Saccharomyces cerevisiae S288C: one gene and its partners. The protein of the gene in region 1 purifies or fractionates together with the protein of each later gene. This does not show direct contact. Each region holds a gene or a part of one and is shown in the gene's direction. Other genes may lie near its edges. The genes, in order: NOP15, SPB4, RPF1 and NUG1.

The links.
Region 2: the proteins of NOP15 (region 1) and SPB4 purify together in Saccharomyces cerevisiae (affinity purification with mass spectrometry; 7 studies listed by BioGRID). This does not show direct contact.
Region 3: the proteins of NOP15 (region 1) and RPF1 purify together in Saccharomyces cerevisiae (affinity purification with mass spectrometry; 5 studies listed by BioGRID, with this or other methods). This does not show direct contact.
Region 4: the proteins of NOP15 (region 1) and NUG1 purify together in Saccharomyces cerevisiae (affinity purification with mass spectrometry; 7 studies listed by BioGRID). This does not show direct contact.

The regions. Positions count from the first base shown.
Region 1 is NC_001146.8:416,983-420,047, reverse strand, and holds NOP15 (rRNA-binding ribosome biosynthesis protein NOP15), read left to right. Parts: upstream 1-1,559; coding exon 1,560-2,222; downstream 2,223-3,065. Other genes in the region: YNL108C (uncharacterized protein), read left to right, coding at 222-1,034; CYB5 (Cyb5p), read left to right, coding at 2,746-3,065. UniProt on the Saccharomyces cerevisiae protein: Involved in the biogenesis of the 60S ribosomal subunit. Required for pre-rRNA processing and cytokinesis. Associates with the precursors of the 25S and 5.8S rRNAs.
Region 2 is NC_001138.5:144,227-148,914, reverse strand, and holds SPB4 (ATP-dependent RNA helicase SPB4), read left to right. Parts: upstream 1-1,980; coding exon 1,981-3,801; downstream 3,802-4,688. Other genes in the region: pseudouridine synthase DEG1, read right to left, coding at 456-1,784. UniProt on the Saccharomyces cerevisiae protein: ATP-binding RNA helicase involved in the biogenesis of 60S ribosomal subunits. Binds 90S pre-ribosomal particles and dissociates from pre-60S ribosomal particles after processing of 27SB pre-rRNA.
Region 3 is NC_001140.6:279,545-282,950, forward strand, and holds RPF1 (rRNA-binding ribosome biosynthesis protein RPF1), read left to right. Parts: upstream 1-1,950; coding exon 1,951-2,838; downstream 2,839-3,406. Other genes in the region: NAM8 (Nam8p), read left to right, coding at 1-180; YHR086W-A (uncharacterized protein), read left to right, coding at 687-848; RTC3 (Rtc3p), read left to right, coding at 1,276-1,611; H/ACA snoRNP pseudouridylase subunit GAR1, read right to left, coding at 3,137-3,406. UniProt on the Saccharomyces cerevisiae protein: Essential protein. Required for biogenesis of the 60S ribosomal subunit.
Region 4 is NC_001137.3:161,181-165,151, forward strand, and holds NUG1 (RNA-binding GTPase NUG1), read left to right. Parts: upstream 1-1,542; coding exon 1,543-3,105; downstream 3,106-3,971. Other genes in the region: YND1 (apyrase), read left to right, coding at 1-1,262; PAC2 (Pac2p), read left to right, coding at 3,347-3,971. UniProt on the Saccharomyces cerevisiae protein: GTPase required for 60S ribosomal subunit export to the cytoplasm.

The DNA.
Region 1 (3,065 bases):
TCCCTCTAGCTTTCGAAGGCTACTTGTTCAGTTGCACATAGAAGACATCTAAACTCTGGAAAAATAATCAATGGTGCCGAAGCGTCATCACGTCATCCGAATAGCGGATATTTCGAAATTTATAAAAAAGCTTTGAAAACAATCCTAGAAGTAAAGCAGTTTCGTTCAATATGTAAGACGTTCAATTAGTTGTACAAGAGGTTAAAATAGTGCTATAAATTATGGCTATCGAAAATATATACATTGCCAGACATGGTTACAGGTCAAACTGGCTACCAAAGGGACCATATCCACCACCGCCCACCGGTATTGATAACGATGTCCCGCTTTCGGAACACGGTGTTGAACAGGCACATGAACTGGCGAACTATATCTCTAAATTAGATGTCAAACCAGAAATGATTTTCTCCTCCCCATTTTACCGCTGTTTAGAAACTAGTAAACCCACAGTGGAGGCTTTAAAGATTCCATTATATGTCGATCGTGGTGTAGGAGAATGGTATAAGCCTGATAGACCCATTATCCCGGAGCCTGCTACTCATGAAGTTATGAGTAAGTTTTTTCCAAGCATGATCTCTCCAGACTGGGAACCTAGTATTATTCCTAGTAATAAGGGTGAAACAGAAGAAGATATTTTTGAGAGGTGCCATAAATTCTGGCCTGTCTTTATTGACAGAGTGGAGAGAAAATTTCCAAATGTAAAGACCATTATGATAGTTACCCACGCAGCCACTAAATCCGCTCTTGGTATGAACTTGTTGAAATTCTCCAGTGCCAAAGAGCCCATTGATAACAAAGGCACCTTTATAAGAAATGGAAGTTGTGCTATTGATAAATTTGAGCTGGTGAAAGGAGAAAATGAAAGTATACCATTTGAAGAGAGAGAGTGGAAACTTACAATGAATGGCAACACCTCCTTTTTAACTAATGGGGAAGAAATGAATTGGACGTTTATGAATGCCTTTGAGGCTGGTTCAGACGCTGATATCAAAGCGAGAAGAGCAGCTGAGAGCGGAAAACTAAAAATGGAGTGAAAACTAAAGTGAGTCTTGAATTCTGTACTTCTCATTATACACTTCTGCATTTGATTTTTATTTCATGATGAAGCTGTGTGAATATATATATATATATACATATGTCAAAGTCTAGTGTAAATTGATAGAATTAACAGTATCTTTTAATATCCCTAAACTTCAAAATTCAAGGTTCAACGATTGAAAGATGAGCTGTCTAGGTAGTAGTACCGAAACCTTTCGAGTTTTGTGCTATCTCTGAAAACTCATTATCCTGCTAAACCCTTTCTAATGTGCATAGCAGCTATTGCAACTTTAGCATCCTCATTACAGACGGCATAGCAGAGACGTATGCGGTTACCCCCCAGATTTTGCCTGTTTCTTTTCACTATGAAAAATTTTCCGCCATAAGAAAAAATGAAGTAGTGCATCGCATCTCATCTCATCACTTAATTTGAAGACGATTACCATTACTTTTAACTTCATTAACTACCTTTTCTATAGGGTTAAGTTCTAGAGATAAAATAACAGAGGAAAGAGATCGATATGGTAAAGTCAACAAGCAAAACTTCCACCAAGGAAACAGTAACCAAACAACCCACCGAAGAAAAACCTATACAGGAGAAAGAAGAGTTGGCTCTAGAAACATCGTCTAGCAGTTCAGATGAAGAAGACGAAAAAGATGAAGATGAAATTGAAGGTTTAGCCGCTTCTGATGATGAGCAGAGCGGTACACACAAGATTAAAAGATTGAATCCTAAGAAGCAGGCTAATGAAAAAAAGTCGAAAGATAAAAAGACACTTGAAGAGTATTCTGGGATTATTTATGTGAGTAGACTGCCACATGGGTTCCACGAAAAGGAATTAAGTAAATATTTTGCTCAATTCGGTGATTTAAAAGAAGTGAGATTAGCACGTAATAAGAAAACTGGAAATTCCAGACATTATGGCTTCTTAGAATTCGTTAATAAAGAGGATGCAATGATCGCCCAAGAATCTATGAACAATTACTTGTTGATGGGTCATCTACTACAAGTGCGTGTATTACCAAAAGGAGCTAAAATCGAGAAATTGTACAAATACAAGAAGAGAGTTCTAGTAGAGAAAGGTATCACCAAACCAGTAAAACAGCTAAAGGATAACATGAAGCAAAAACATGAAGAAAGGATAAAAAAATTAGCCAAGTCAGGTATCGAATTCAAATGGTGACTTGTCACTTCTCATCCACCCTGAGAAAAGGGTTTTGTAAGATAGAATAGGAGATATAGCAAACTTGGGAAACCATTTATATCATTAATTCCAGCAATATAGTTCCGTTTGTCCGTATTCAATGATATTTACATGATTGCTTTTACGAAGATTCAACGACCAAAATCACGGAGCGGGTAATAGCCTGGAGTTTCCGGATGAAAAATTTAACGGCCCAGAAAAAGAACAATAGCTGCAAAAAAGAAAGCTATACGAGATCGAGATAGTGAGAGAGGTTAGCATAACGAGAAAATTTTTGTCGCATTCGTGGCCAAAAAGCGATATTTGAGAAGCATTGTTATTATATCAATAAATAACAAATATATATATTGTCCTTTTTCCAATAACTATATAAAGAACAAGAAGCTTTTGAAACTTTCTCAAAAATTTTCGTTCAGGCTTCCTCGTTAATATTTAAATTCGATTTTCATTTTCTTCATAGTAAAGAAAATCAATCAACTACAACATAAAATATCAAACAATCATGCCTAAAGTTTACAGTTACCAAGAAGTTGCCGAACACAATGGCCCAGAAAATTTCTGGATTATCATCGATGACAAAGTTTACGATGTTTCTCAATTCAAAGATGAACATCCAGGTGGTGATGAAATTATAATGGATTTGGGTGGACAAGATGCTACAGAAAGCTTTGTCGATATCGGTCATTCTGACGAAGCATTGAGACTACTGAAAGGTTTATACATTGGTGACGTTGACAAGACCAGTGAGCGCGTTTCTGTGGAAAAGGTATCTACCTCTGAAAACCAAAGTAAAGGTAGTGGTACATTGGTTGTCATATTGGC
Region 2 (4,688 bases), on another chromosome or scaffold:
CATAGTTAAAATTTTGCTTCTTGATAATGAGATGAGGTAATTACAAGAGTTCTGCTTTCCTTCCCAAACAGTTTATTTTATAGTTGGTCTCTATATCAAGTGTTGAGTAAGTAATCGAATGGAAATTACGTACTTTCAACGCAAGAGCAAGACAAAAGAAAGCCTAAAACTGTCTTTTCGTGTCGGTCGTCCAATATCATCGTAAACGTGTGTAGAGCCTTAAATTCTAATTTCTAACTTTAAATTTTTTTTGCTATTATAATACTAATTTCTAACTTTCAACCTATTTTACATCTTCGGAAAACAAAAACTATTTTTTCTTTAATTTCTTTTTTTACTTTCTATTTTTAATTTATATATTTATATTAAAAAATTTAAATTATAATTATTTTTATAGCACGTGATGAAAAGAAATATAGTCTTCAAGGTTATATTATACAGGTTTATATATTATTTTACTTATTTTTGTTGTTCTTTTTCTTGGAGTATTTAGCATTAACAACTTCGACAGGTTCCATAACGCTTCTATCCTCTAGTTTCACATAGGTACCGACTACTTTACCTCTTCCATCGCCCAAATTAATAATTGTCTTTGAGAAGTTGTTTGTATTTGCTGTGGGCAAAACATCTTTAAAAATATTGCATACTGCGGCCTTAAGTTCGTAGTGTAACGTCAATGCTTCAGTAGCTGTCGTGAATTTTATTGCCTTATAGTCATCTACAGTAGGTTCTTGCCAATCCATTTCAGGAAATTTACAATCATATAACAATAATGGTATATCATTTGCCATTTCGTAAACAGGCCTTTGAGGGGTTTTCTCAATATCAGTCAGACGCAAGACAATTTCCGGCACTTCAAGTGATTGACCAACTAAGAAAAGAATGGCCATCATGCAACGAACTTGGTGCCATAGGAATGCTGAACCAACGAGATCAAAACAATAGAAAGTTTCAGAAAGGGGAAGAATTTTTGAGCTTATTATTGTTCGTTTAAAATTGGTAATTTGTTTTGAGCCATCAAGCTTACAAAAATTCCTGAAGTCTCTCTCTCCAACAAAATATGATGCGGCTTTAGACATTTTTTCAATATTAAGGTTTTTTCCATTAAAGATGTACTTATAGTGCCGGTGAACACAGCTGAATCTTGCGTCAAAGTTAGGTGGCGGTCTGAGGCAGACAGCTGATATACGAATATCGTCGGGTAGTAATTGATTTAAAACGTGAACATAGGGTATTTCCCTGCTGTCGTTGGTCGGATCCCGCTGTTCCTCATCTGTTAAATTGGAACGGACTTCTAACGATATAACTTGGTTCATGGCGCTAACTCCCTTGTCTGTTCTGCCACATCTGCTAAATTTATAGTCTTGTAAAACCATCGAGGGAACAAGTTTACACTTATTCATGGCCTCCAAAATGGTACCCTCTACTGTAGGCAACGGTGTGTATTCCTTCTGAACAGCTAAGCCATTGTAATTCCATCCCAAATAGGCAAATCTCAAGGCGATGAACCTGGTATTATGTTTAGAAAAGTCAAACTTCTTCGGAGCCTTTTTCGCCTTGCTTCTCGTAACCTCTTCTTGCGAAATTTTGCGCTTTTTGTTATCCTCGATGTGCTGGAATTTTTCAGAATGTGGCTTATTTGCGTTTTCTAGTTCAGTGATCCTTCGTATTAGCTGCTCTTTGGACCAGTTTGCGTAAATGGAGTCCTTCTTACTAACAATAGCATTGGTACCTGTTGAAATCGCTTTCATTTTCCCAACTAGCCTTCTAATGAAATTACTCATTCAAGGGAGGTTATAGTAGGGCAGTAAAGATTGCATGTGGGCACCTCGAGAATACTATATTATTCTTTATTTTGAGCCGGCTTTTCGCTTTCAAAAATTTTTCACTGAAAAACAAAGTGAGCTTTTCAAGATGAGCTGAGCCCATTGATTTGAGGTGTAGTAAGATAATATTAAAAGCTCAGCAGCAATAAAAACAATGTCAAAGTCATTGGAATGGGATAATCTCGGGTTTTCTTTACTTCCCTGGATAAGGACAGGACTCGATGTTATGGGTTTTGAGACCATGACTCCAGTCCAAGCATCGACAATTCCCATGCTTGCTGGCAACAAGGATGTAGTAGTTGATTCTGTAACAGGCTCAGGTAAGACCGCTGCGTTTGTTATACCTGTACTAGAAAAAGTTGTAAAGGAAGAAGCGAATACATCAAAATTCAAGAAAGCACACTTCCACTCGTTAATTATTGCTCCAACAAGAGAATTGTCACGCCAAATTGAGTCTGTCGTTCTATCATTTCTGGAACATTATCCTTCCGACTTGTTCCCTATTAAATGTCAGCTCCTGGTTGGTACTAATGAAGCCACAGTTAGAGATGATGTAAGTAATTTTCTGCGGAATAGACCGCAGATTCTGATTGGAACACCTGGTAGAGTTTTGGACTTTTTACAAATGCCAGCAGTAAAGACGTCAGCATGCAGTATGGTAGTTATGGATGAAGCAGACAGATTGTTGGATATGAGTTTTATTAAGGATACCGAAAAAATTCTGAGGCTATTGCCTAAACAAAGAAGGACGGGTCTATTTTCTGCAACTATGCGTAGCGCCGGATCAGATATCTTTAAGACAGGGCTTAGAAATCCTGTCAGGATTACCGTTAACTCTAAGAACCAGGCGCCCTCCTCTTTGAAATTAAATTACTGTGTCGTAAATCCTGCCGAAAAACTACAACTTTTGGTTAGCATTTTGAATAACTACAAATTCAAGAAATGTATTGTATATTTTCCAACATGTGTGTCAGTCTCCTACTTCTACTCATTTATCCAGTATTTGGGAAAGAGGAATATTCTCGTGAATGAAGTAGAAATATTTTCCTTGCATGGAAAACTTCAAACATCGGCAAGGACAAAAACTCTAACAGCTTTTACTGATTCGCTAAGTAATTCTGTTTTATTCACAACAGATGTGGCTGCTAGAGGTATTGACATACCCGACGTTGATCTCGTCATCCAGCTTGATCCCCCTACCAATACTGATATGTTCATGCATAGATGTGGTAGAACTGGTAGAGCAAATAGAGTGGGTAAAGCAATTACGTTTCTTAATGAAGGCAGAGAAGAGGATTTTATTCCTTTCATGCAAGTTAAAAATGTGGAACTTGAAGAACTTGATTTGGAAGTAAAGGGCATAACAACAAACTTTTACGAGGACTTTAGAAATTGGATACTAGAAGATAGGGATAGATTTGATAAAGGTGTTAAAGCATATGTTGCCTTTATTAAATACTACTCAAATCATTCCGCAACTTCAATTTTTAGGCTTCAATCTTTAGATTATGTTGGTATTGCGAAATTGTATGGTCTTTTCCGCCTGCCTAGAATGCCTGAGATAACAAAGTACTTAGCCACCGAAAAACAAGAAGGGATTTTCCCAGGGAATTGGTTGGTCGATCCCCCAGTTAATATGGATGAATATAAATACAAGGACAAAAAACGTGAAAAGGAGAGACAAGAAACATTAAAAAATATAAGCCTGATTAATGATAAAAAGAAGCTGAAAAGTGAGTTGAAGAAGAAGAATTTAGCGTGGTCAGATAAAACATTGACGAAAGAACGGAAACTCGAGAGAAAGGAAAAGATGAGTTTAAAAAGGAAGGCTATAGAGGAAGAATTGAAAGCAGAAGAGCTCGATGAAAATGCTGAAGAAGAGCGTATTAAAGAGGATTGGAAAGAAATCGTTTTACAGAATAAACGGAAGAAAGTTTCCAGCAAAGCTATCCAAGGCAATTTTGACGACTTATAATTATGGAAAAAAAGTTACCTTGTTCGTAGAATCACTCAACATTCTTAACCAATGGATGATCTTGTAGCATCATAGTGAGTAAGTAGATTATTTGTGTATGCATACTTAATTTAAAATATTCTAAAACCATTATACTCCATCTTAAAGCATAATATATATCTCTTGTTCAGCATGTACTTGTAACAGGAAAAGGATATTATGTTCAGAAATAATCAAACAGCCTCAATACTGACATCAGGCAGTCGACAGGAATAACTTCAAAATAAGTTCCGATCACAACGTTATTGTAATGGAACCAATGATCGCTCATTGATTAGTATTCATATTAACACTATATTAAAATTGAGTGTGAGTAGATGGCACAAAGACTGAGAAATAATCATCAAATTTAATGGAAGCCGAAATGCAAGACTTGATAATGTAATGGAATAAAGAGTGGCGACAATAATATGAAAAAGAAAATATTAATAACATTATATAGAAATATGGGCTTCCTTTTTTAGGTTATTACATCCTTGGGAAGAATTTTTAATATACTTTGATTCCCTTTAATAACAATGGAATGCCAACAATTATCCTAACATTGACCCGTTGGTAATTAGAGGTTAAGAAGTAGTGTTAATGAAGATTAAATATGGATCTTCTTATACTATATAAGAGAAGTATAAAACACACGCTGATTTGTGTATTATTACTTATGATCAATGTAATAGTAGTTCTGGAACTTGTCATACATTTAGTTTGACTAGTCATATTACGCGTATATATAACGACCAGATCATGTCAAACCTACGGTTCTTCAATACAGATTCATTACTTTCTTTAACAGGTATATTCATACTTAAACATATATGCGGTATGTATTCATGCACGATGCAAGCATTCAA
Region 3 (3,406 bases), on another chromosome or scaffold:
AGTAATAATAATGCTACAAATACGCAAGCTACTAGTTTACTGGCTGACACTAGCTCTATGGACCTCTCAGGCACGGGTGGCCAACAAGTTATCATGCAAGGAAGCGAAGCGGTTGTTAACAGCACTAATGCAATGTTAAACCGTTTGGAACAAGGCAGTAATGGTTTTATGTTTGCTTGAGCCACACGTGTATATAAAAATGTTTGTTTTCCTTTTGGCCCTTTTTCTTTCTTGGTATTTTCTTTACTTCAGTGTTAAATTGTATTTGGTCTTAGGCTGACGGTGATATAACAGCGCTTTATTTTCTTTTTTTCATTGCTTTTTATCGTTTTCAAGATTCCATGTCCTTTTATTAAGTCTTTTTTGTATCGTTATAGTTGCGTTTTTCCTTTTGATTTTCATTTCTTTCAAGGTTATTGTTATTCTTAATTCAATTCAAGATTGTACGCTTTTAAGCATGTTTATGATTTTCCTTTATTACTTCCATTTACCTTCTTTCCATCACTACTCATTACGGCCTGTCAATTCCTTTTTTGCGTCACCTTCATTTTTTCTTCTCTGTTCTTTTCTGTATTTGTCGAAAATTTTATATTGATGTATCTTAATTTTATTTTTAGTATTATTATACTGTAAATGTTTCTTACTGTGTCAAGATTTCCCGTTGCGCTATCTTCCAAGACTACGTAATGCGTTTGTCTCTCTATTCATGTTGTCTCTGTATAGGGGCACGGCGAATTCCTACTCCGTGTCTCTTCTCCTATATCTTTACACCAAATTTGGCCCATTTTCATTCCCCTTTACGTAGTAGCGGTTTTCGGCCTGCCGGTGCTACGCGTTTCTATAGCTAGTTTCGTTTTCTCACAAATAAATCCTAGCAGGAGGAAAAGAAAGCGCAGGTTGAAACTCCGTTCAGAAGAAGAAAGCCACTCTTTGAAAATACTGCCCACGCAATTGTCCCTTTCTGACAATAAGACCCCTTACTACTAGTAAATGTTTTTATTCTCTAAGCTTCTTTTCCTCTAACTTCGACGCTAGAGCAGGCACTACCCTGTTGGGCCGTACGTAACAACAACGACCCCTTATTTAGTCGAAGGGATCGCCAGAAACAGGGAGCAAAAGATATTTAAGTGATGAGAATCAATTTCGATGATGATCACAAGCCAATGTTCTTTAAACTCAATTCTTGACTAATAAAAAAGCAGCTATCAACAAATTCATACTTTGAACAAGCTGATAAAAATAAGAAAACCATCGCATACACAAAATAAAATCAACATGTCTACTGTAACCAAATACTTTTACAAGGGTGAAAATACAGATTTGATTGTCTTCGCTGCATCCGAAGAGCTTGTAGACGAATATTTGAAAAATCCATCAATTGGTAAGCTATCTGAAGTTGTCGAACTCTTCGAAGTTTTCACTCCTCAGGACGGTAGGGGTGCCGAGGGTGAGTTGGGCGCTGCCTCCAAGGCCCAAGTGGAAAATGAGTTCGGTAAGGGCAAGAAGATCGAAGAAGTTATCGATTTGATATTGAGAAATGGTAAGCCAAACTCTACCACCTCTAGTCTCAAAACCAAAGGGGGTAACGCCGGAACCAAAGCCTACAATTGAGTAGCTTTTCCTTCTGTCTGGACAGCCTGCATTGAAATATGCAATAAGTTAAATTGGCGTGCTGCCCTGTCATAACGCATGCATTCTTCTTTTACAGTAGTAGAAAGAACAAAAAGGTGTATATTTCAATATACATATTTACGATCTATATAACGTTGTATACATTTAATTCAGTGCATTTTTCATTTTCGCGTTCGTCACACATGATTATTTATACAAAGGAAAAGTAAAATTTTTAGCGATGAGATGTAAAAAGAAATGCGATGCCATAAGCTATACTTTACGATTGAACACCTAAGGAAGAGGTAAAGCAGGCTTAATATATTGAAATACTAAAAAATGGCTCTCGGTAATGAGATAAACATCACAAACAAGCTAAAGAGGCAAGAAATTTTTGCTGATATAAAACATGAAAAAAATAAAGAGCGCCATACCATGAGAAGAAAGAGAGCTAAGGAAGAGAGAGAGAATCCGGAGCTGCGGGAGCAGAGATTAAAAGAGAACGTAACACAGACGATAGAGAACACTAGAGTGTACGATGAGACCATTAACAAGGAAGTGGAGGGAGATGAAGACGATTTGATGAGATACTTCAACAGCAATTCTAATGAGCCACCAAAGATCTTTCTGACCACAAATGTAAACGCTAAGAAGAGCGCTTATGAATTTGCTAACATTTTAATCGAAATTTTACCAAACGTCACATTTGTGAAAAGAAAATTTGGCTACAAATTGAAGGAAATATCTGATATTTGTATAAAAAGGAATTTCACTGACATCGTGATAATCAACGAGGACAAGAAAAAGGTTACTGGCCTAACATTCATACATCTGCCAGAGGGCCCAACTTTTTATTTTAAATTATCATCATTTGTTGAAGTGAAGAAAATTGTCGGTCATGGTAGACCAACTAGCCATATTCCAGAATTGATTCTAAATAATTTCCAGACCAGATTGGGTCAAACAGTAGGTAGGTTGTTTCAGTCCATTTTACCTCAGAATCCTGATATTGAAGGTCGACAAGTTATCACCCTACATAATCAAAGAGATTACATTTTCTTCAGAAGGCATCGGTATGTCTTCAAAGATAATGAAAGGGTTGGTTTGCAAGAACTGGGTCCACAATTTACCCTCAAGTTGAAAAGATTGCAAAGGGGTATTAAGGAAGAAACTGAATGGGAGCATAAACCTGAGATGGACAAAGAAAAGAAAAAGTTTTATTTATAGTGTTCCATTCGTAAACTTTGTATGGATATAATATTAAGACAACCGTAAGAACCGTGGTCGTTTGTTTAACTACGGCGGCTTCTGGTATTACTGAATTTCTCTTTTTTTCATTTTAAATCAATTTATTACAGGTAAATCAATCAAACAAATATATATATATATAGTATACAGAACAAACGGTAATTTCTTTTTTTTTTTTTCGACGTTAGACGTGCTTCGGCAGATATAGTAAGTTGGAAGAAATGAAGAATTGTGAAAGATAAAGGATGGTTTTTTTTTTTATTTTTTTCTAGCTAGATTATCTTCTACCTCCTCTGAAACCACCACGAGATCCGCCACGAGATCCTCCTCTAAATGATCCGCCACGAGATCCACCTCTGAAAGAACTGCCACCACGGCCTCCTCTGAAAGAACTACCACCACGGCCTCCTCTGAAACCTCCTCTGCTACCACCGCGACCCATTGAAGCACCACCACGGCCACCTGGGGCACCACTTCTCTTCTTCTTGTTTTTTGGTTTTGGTGGGCCTACCACCTTAGGCTTAGGTAAAAATCTTTCAATAGGCAA
Region 4 (3,971 bases), on another chromosome or scaffold:
CCATCTTCTTGAGGAGTGTTAACGGAGATTTGCAGAAATGGGACGTTTTTGTTAGTACGTGGTTAGGGTTTGGTGCCAATCAGGCTAGAAGAAGGTACTTGGCTCAGTTGATCAATACCCTTCCAGAAAACACAAATGATTACGAAAATGATGACTTCTCTACAAGGAACTTGAATGATCCATGTATGCCGCGAGGAAGCAGCACGGATTTTGAATTTAAAGATACCATATTTCACATCGCGGGTTCTGGGAATTACGAACAATGTACAAAATCTATTTATCCGTTACTTTTAAAGAACATGCCTTGTGATGACGAGCCGTGCTTGTTTAATGGTGTTCATGCTCCTCGAATAGACTTTGCCAATGACAAATTTATAGGTACTTCTGAGTACTGGTACACTGCCAACGACGTATTCAAACTTGGGGGCGAATACAACTTTGACAAATTTAGCAAAAGCCTAAGGGAGTTTTGCAATTCCAATTGGACGCAAATATTAGCGAACAGTGATAAAGGCGTGTATAATTCTATTCCGGAGAATTTTTTGAAAGATGCATGCTTTAAGGGCAATTGGGTCCTTAATATACTTCATGAAGGGTTTGATATGCCTCGAATAGATGTCGACGCAGAAAATGTCAATGACAGGCCCTTATTTCAAAGTGTGGAAAAAGTCGAAGAACGAGAGTTATCGTGGACACTAGGCAGAATTTTACTTTATGCCTCAGGTAGCATATTGGCAGGTAATGATGACTTCATGGTGGGTATTGCGCCCAGTGAAAGAAGAACTAAGCTCACTGGTAAGAAATTCATACCTGGCAAGTTACTGGAGTCTGATCAACTACGCAAGCAAAGTTCCAGCCTTTCTAATAAAGGATTTTTGATGTGGTTCGCAATTATTTGTTGCATATTTTACTTGATCTTTCATAGGTCACACATAATCAGAAGACGTTTTTCCGGTCTGTACAACATTACCAAGGACTTTAAGACAGGCATAAGGAGAAGGTTGAAATTTCTAAGGAGATCAGATCCATTTTCCAGATTGGAGGAAGGTGAACTTGGAACAGACGTAGATGGCTTCAAAGATGTGTACAGGATGAAGAGTAGCAGTATGTTTGATCTTGGTAAGAGTTCAGCCACAATGCAAAGGGAGCACGAACCACAAAGGACAGCAAGTCAGTCCGCTAATCTCGCTCCGTCAAACTTACGACCTGCGTTTTCTATGGCTGATTTTTCCAAATTTAAGGACAGTAGGCTATATGATTGAATGTGGTGGTGTATGTGCCATAAATAGAAGCGCATATACTTCTCACATAAATATATGTATATATCTAGTGAGGTGCCATAGTATTGCATTAACAGTGATTCACGTCACTCTAAACGTCGCTTCTGTTTTTTTTTTGAAATTTTTTTCTCACAGCTGCTGAAAATTTTCGAGCGAGGCGATGAGATGAGCTAATTATATCAAGAGGGAATTGTACTAGTAATACTTTGGTACACACAAGAACAAGCATATAGGTATACAGTCACGACTATAATATCATAAAATGAGAGTCAGAAAGCGCCAATCTAGAAGAACATCTACCAAGTTGAAGGAAGGTATTAAGAAGAAGGCTTCTGCCCATAGAAAAAAGGAAAAGAAGATGGCTAAGAAGGACGTTACTTGGAGATCAAGGTCTAAGAAAGACCCTGGTATTCCTTCTAACTTTCCTTATAAGGCTAAGATCTTAGAAGAAATAGAAGCCAAAAAAATGAAGGACTTAGAGGAAAGAGAGCTTGCCAAACAACAACGATTGGAGGCTAGGAAAGCTGCCAAGGAACAAGGCGTTGATGCAATGGATGAAGACATGATAGAAGACGATGAAAATGGATTAGCAGCTTTGGTTGAGTCTGCTCAGCAAGCAGCTGCTGAATATGAGGGCACACCCTCTAATGATGCAGATGTTCGTGATGATGAATTGGACGTCATTGATTATAACATTGATTTCTACGGTGAAGATGTAGAAGGCGAGTCAGAACTTGAAAAATCTAGGAAAGCTTATGACAAGATTTTCAAATCCGTTATTGATGCTTCTGATGTCATCCTATATGTTTTGGATGCCAGAGATCCAGAGAGTACAAGATCAAGAAAGGTGGAAGAAGCCGTCTTACAAAGTCAGGGTAAAAGGCTGATTTTAATACTGAACAAAGTTGATTTAATTCCCCCACATGTATTGGAACAATGGTTAAATTACTTAAAGTCTAGTTTTCCTACAATCCCATTAAGAGCTTCTTCTGGTGCAGTCAACGGAACTTCTTTCAACAGAAAGCTAAGCCAAACCACTACTGCAAGTGCACTGCTAGAGTCGCTGAAAACTTACTCTAATAACAGCAATTTGAAGAGATCTATTGTAGTGGGTGTTATCGGTTATCCAAATGTTGGTAAATCATCTGTTATCAACGCTCTTTTGGCGCGCCGTGGAGGTCAATCAAAGGCTTGCCCAGTCGGTAATGAAGCAGGTGTTACTACCTCTCTGAGAGAGATCAAAATCGACAACAAGTTGAAGATTCTAGATTCTCCTGGTATATGTTTCCCAAGCGAAAATAAGAAAAGATCGAAAGTTGAACATGAAGCTGAATTAGCTCTTCTAAATGCTCTACCGGCAAAACACATTGTTGATCCGTATCCAGCTGTCTTAATGTTGGTAAAGAGACTAGCTAAATCAGATGAAATGACAGAGAGCTTTAAAAAGCTGTATGAAATTCCTCCTATTCCTGCTAATGATGCAGATACGTTTACAAAACATTTCTTAATTCACGTCGCTCGTAAAAGAGGTAGATTAGGGAAAGGCGGTATTCCAAATCTTGCCAGTGCTGGTCTTTCGGTACTTAATGACTGGAGGGATGGTAAAATTCTTGGTTGGGTTTTACCAAATACATCGGCAGCTGCATCTCAACAAGATAAACAAAATCTAAGTACTATAAACACTGGCACTAAACAAGCTCCAATTGCAGCAAATGAATCCACCATTGTATCCGAGTGGTCCAAAGAATTTGATTTGGATGGATTATTTAGCTCTCTTGACAAGGCCATAGATGCTAGCAAAGATCAAGATACAATGATGGAATAAATAAGTCATATGTAAGGCTATTTTTATGTAAGGGGTGTTTCTTATTTTTTCTTTATCATCAAATAACATTACTGTAAATTATAGGTGTGCTTTTAAACTCATTACTATACATCTTATTTTTTTTAGTTTTACTGCCTTTTTGCTCTTTGGACAAAGAAATCATTAAAAAGTTCCAACTTTTATTATGTTTCATATATAAGATATACAAAATATAAAATGCAAAACGAATTTCAGAGATAGCATGACTTATGAAATTGGGGACAGACTCAAGATTGGTGGATATTTTTGCACCATCAAATTCATAGGTGTTATTAAGCCGTGGCCTTCGGTAAAAGCTTATGGGGTGGAATGGGACGATCACAGCCGGGGAAAACATTCTGGAACAATAGATGACATACACTATTTTGACGTTCAAATTCCTAATTCAGGATCATTTTTGAAGGAGTCTAAGATTAAATCTCCAGGTGTACGCAGAATTACGTTTTACGAAGCATTGTCAGAAAAGTATGGAGGCTCGAGTAATAACATTAATGACCTATCTATAGGTAACAAAAGGGTTGAGGGTTTGGGATTCGATGAACTAAATGCGAGAAATAAGAATTATAAGAAGTTAAGAAAAATAGCTTTGCGAGATTCCGATGTCGCTATATTGTTTCAAAATCAAGATGAGTTAAACCGTGTAATACAAAATTGTGTGAACGTCAAGGACCTTGATTTATCGCTTAATCTATTCACGAATATCAACTCTTTATGTGAGTTCATAGAACCTTTGAAGAACTTGGAGAGCCTTAATATATCTCAAAATAAACTTTTAAGCGGTTGGGACAACTTGAAAGAATATGACCTATCACACATCAAAACTTTAC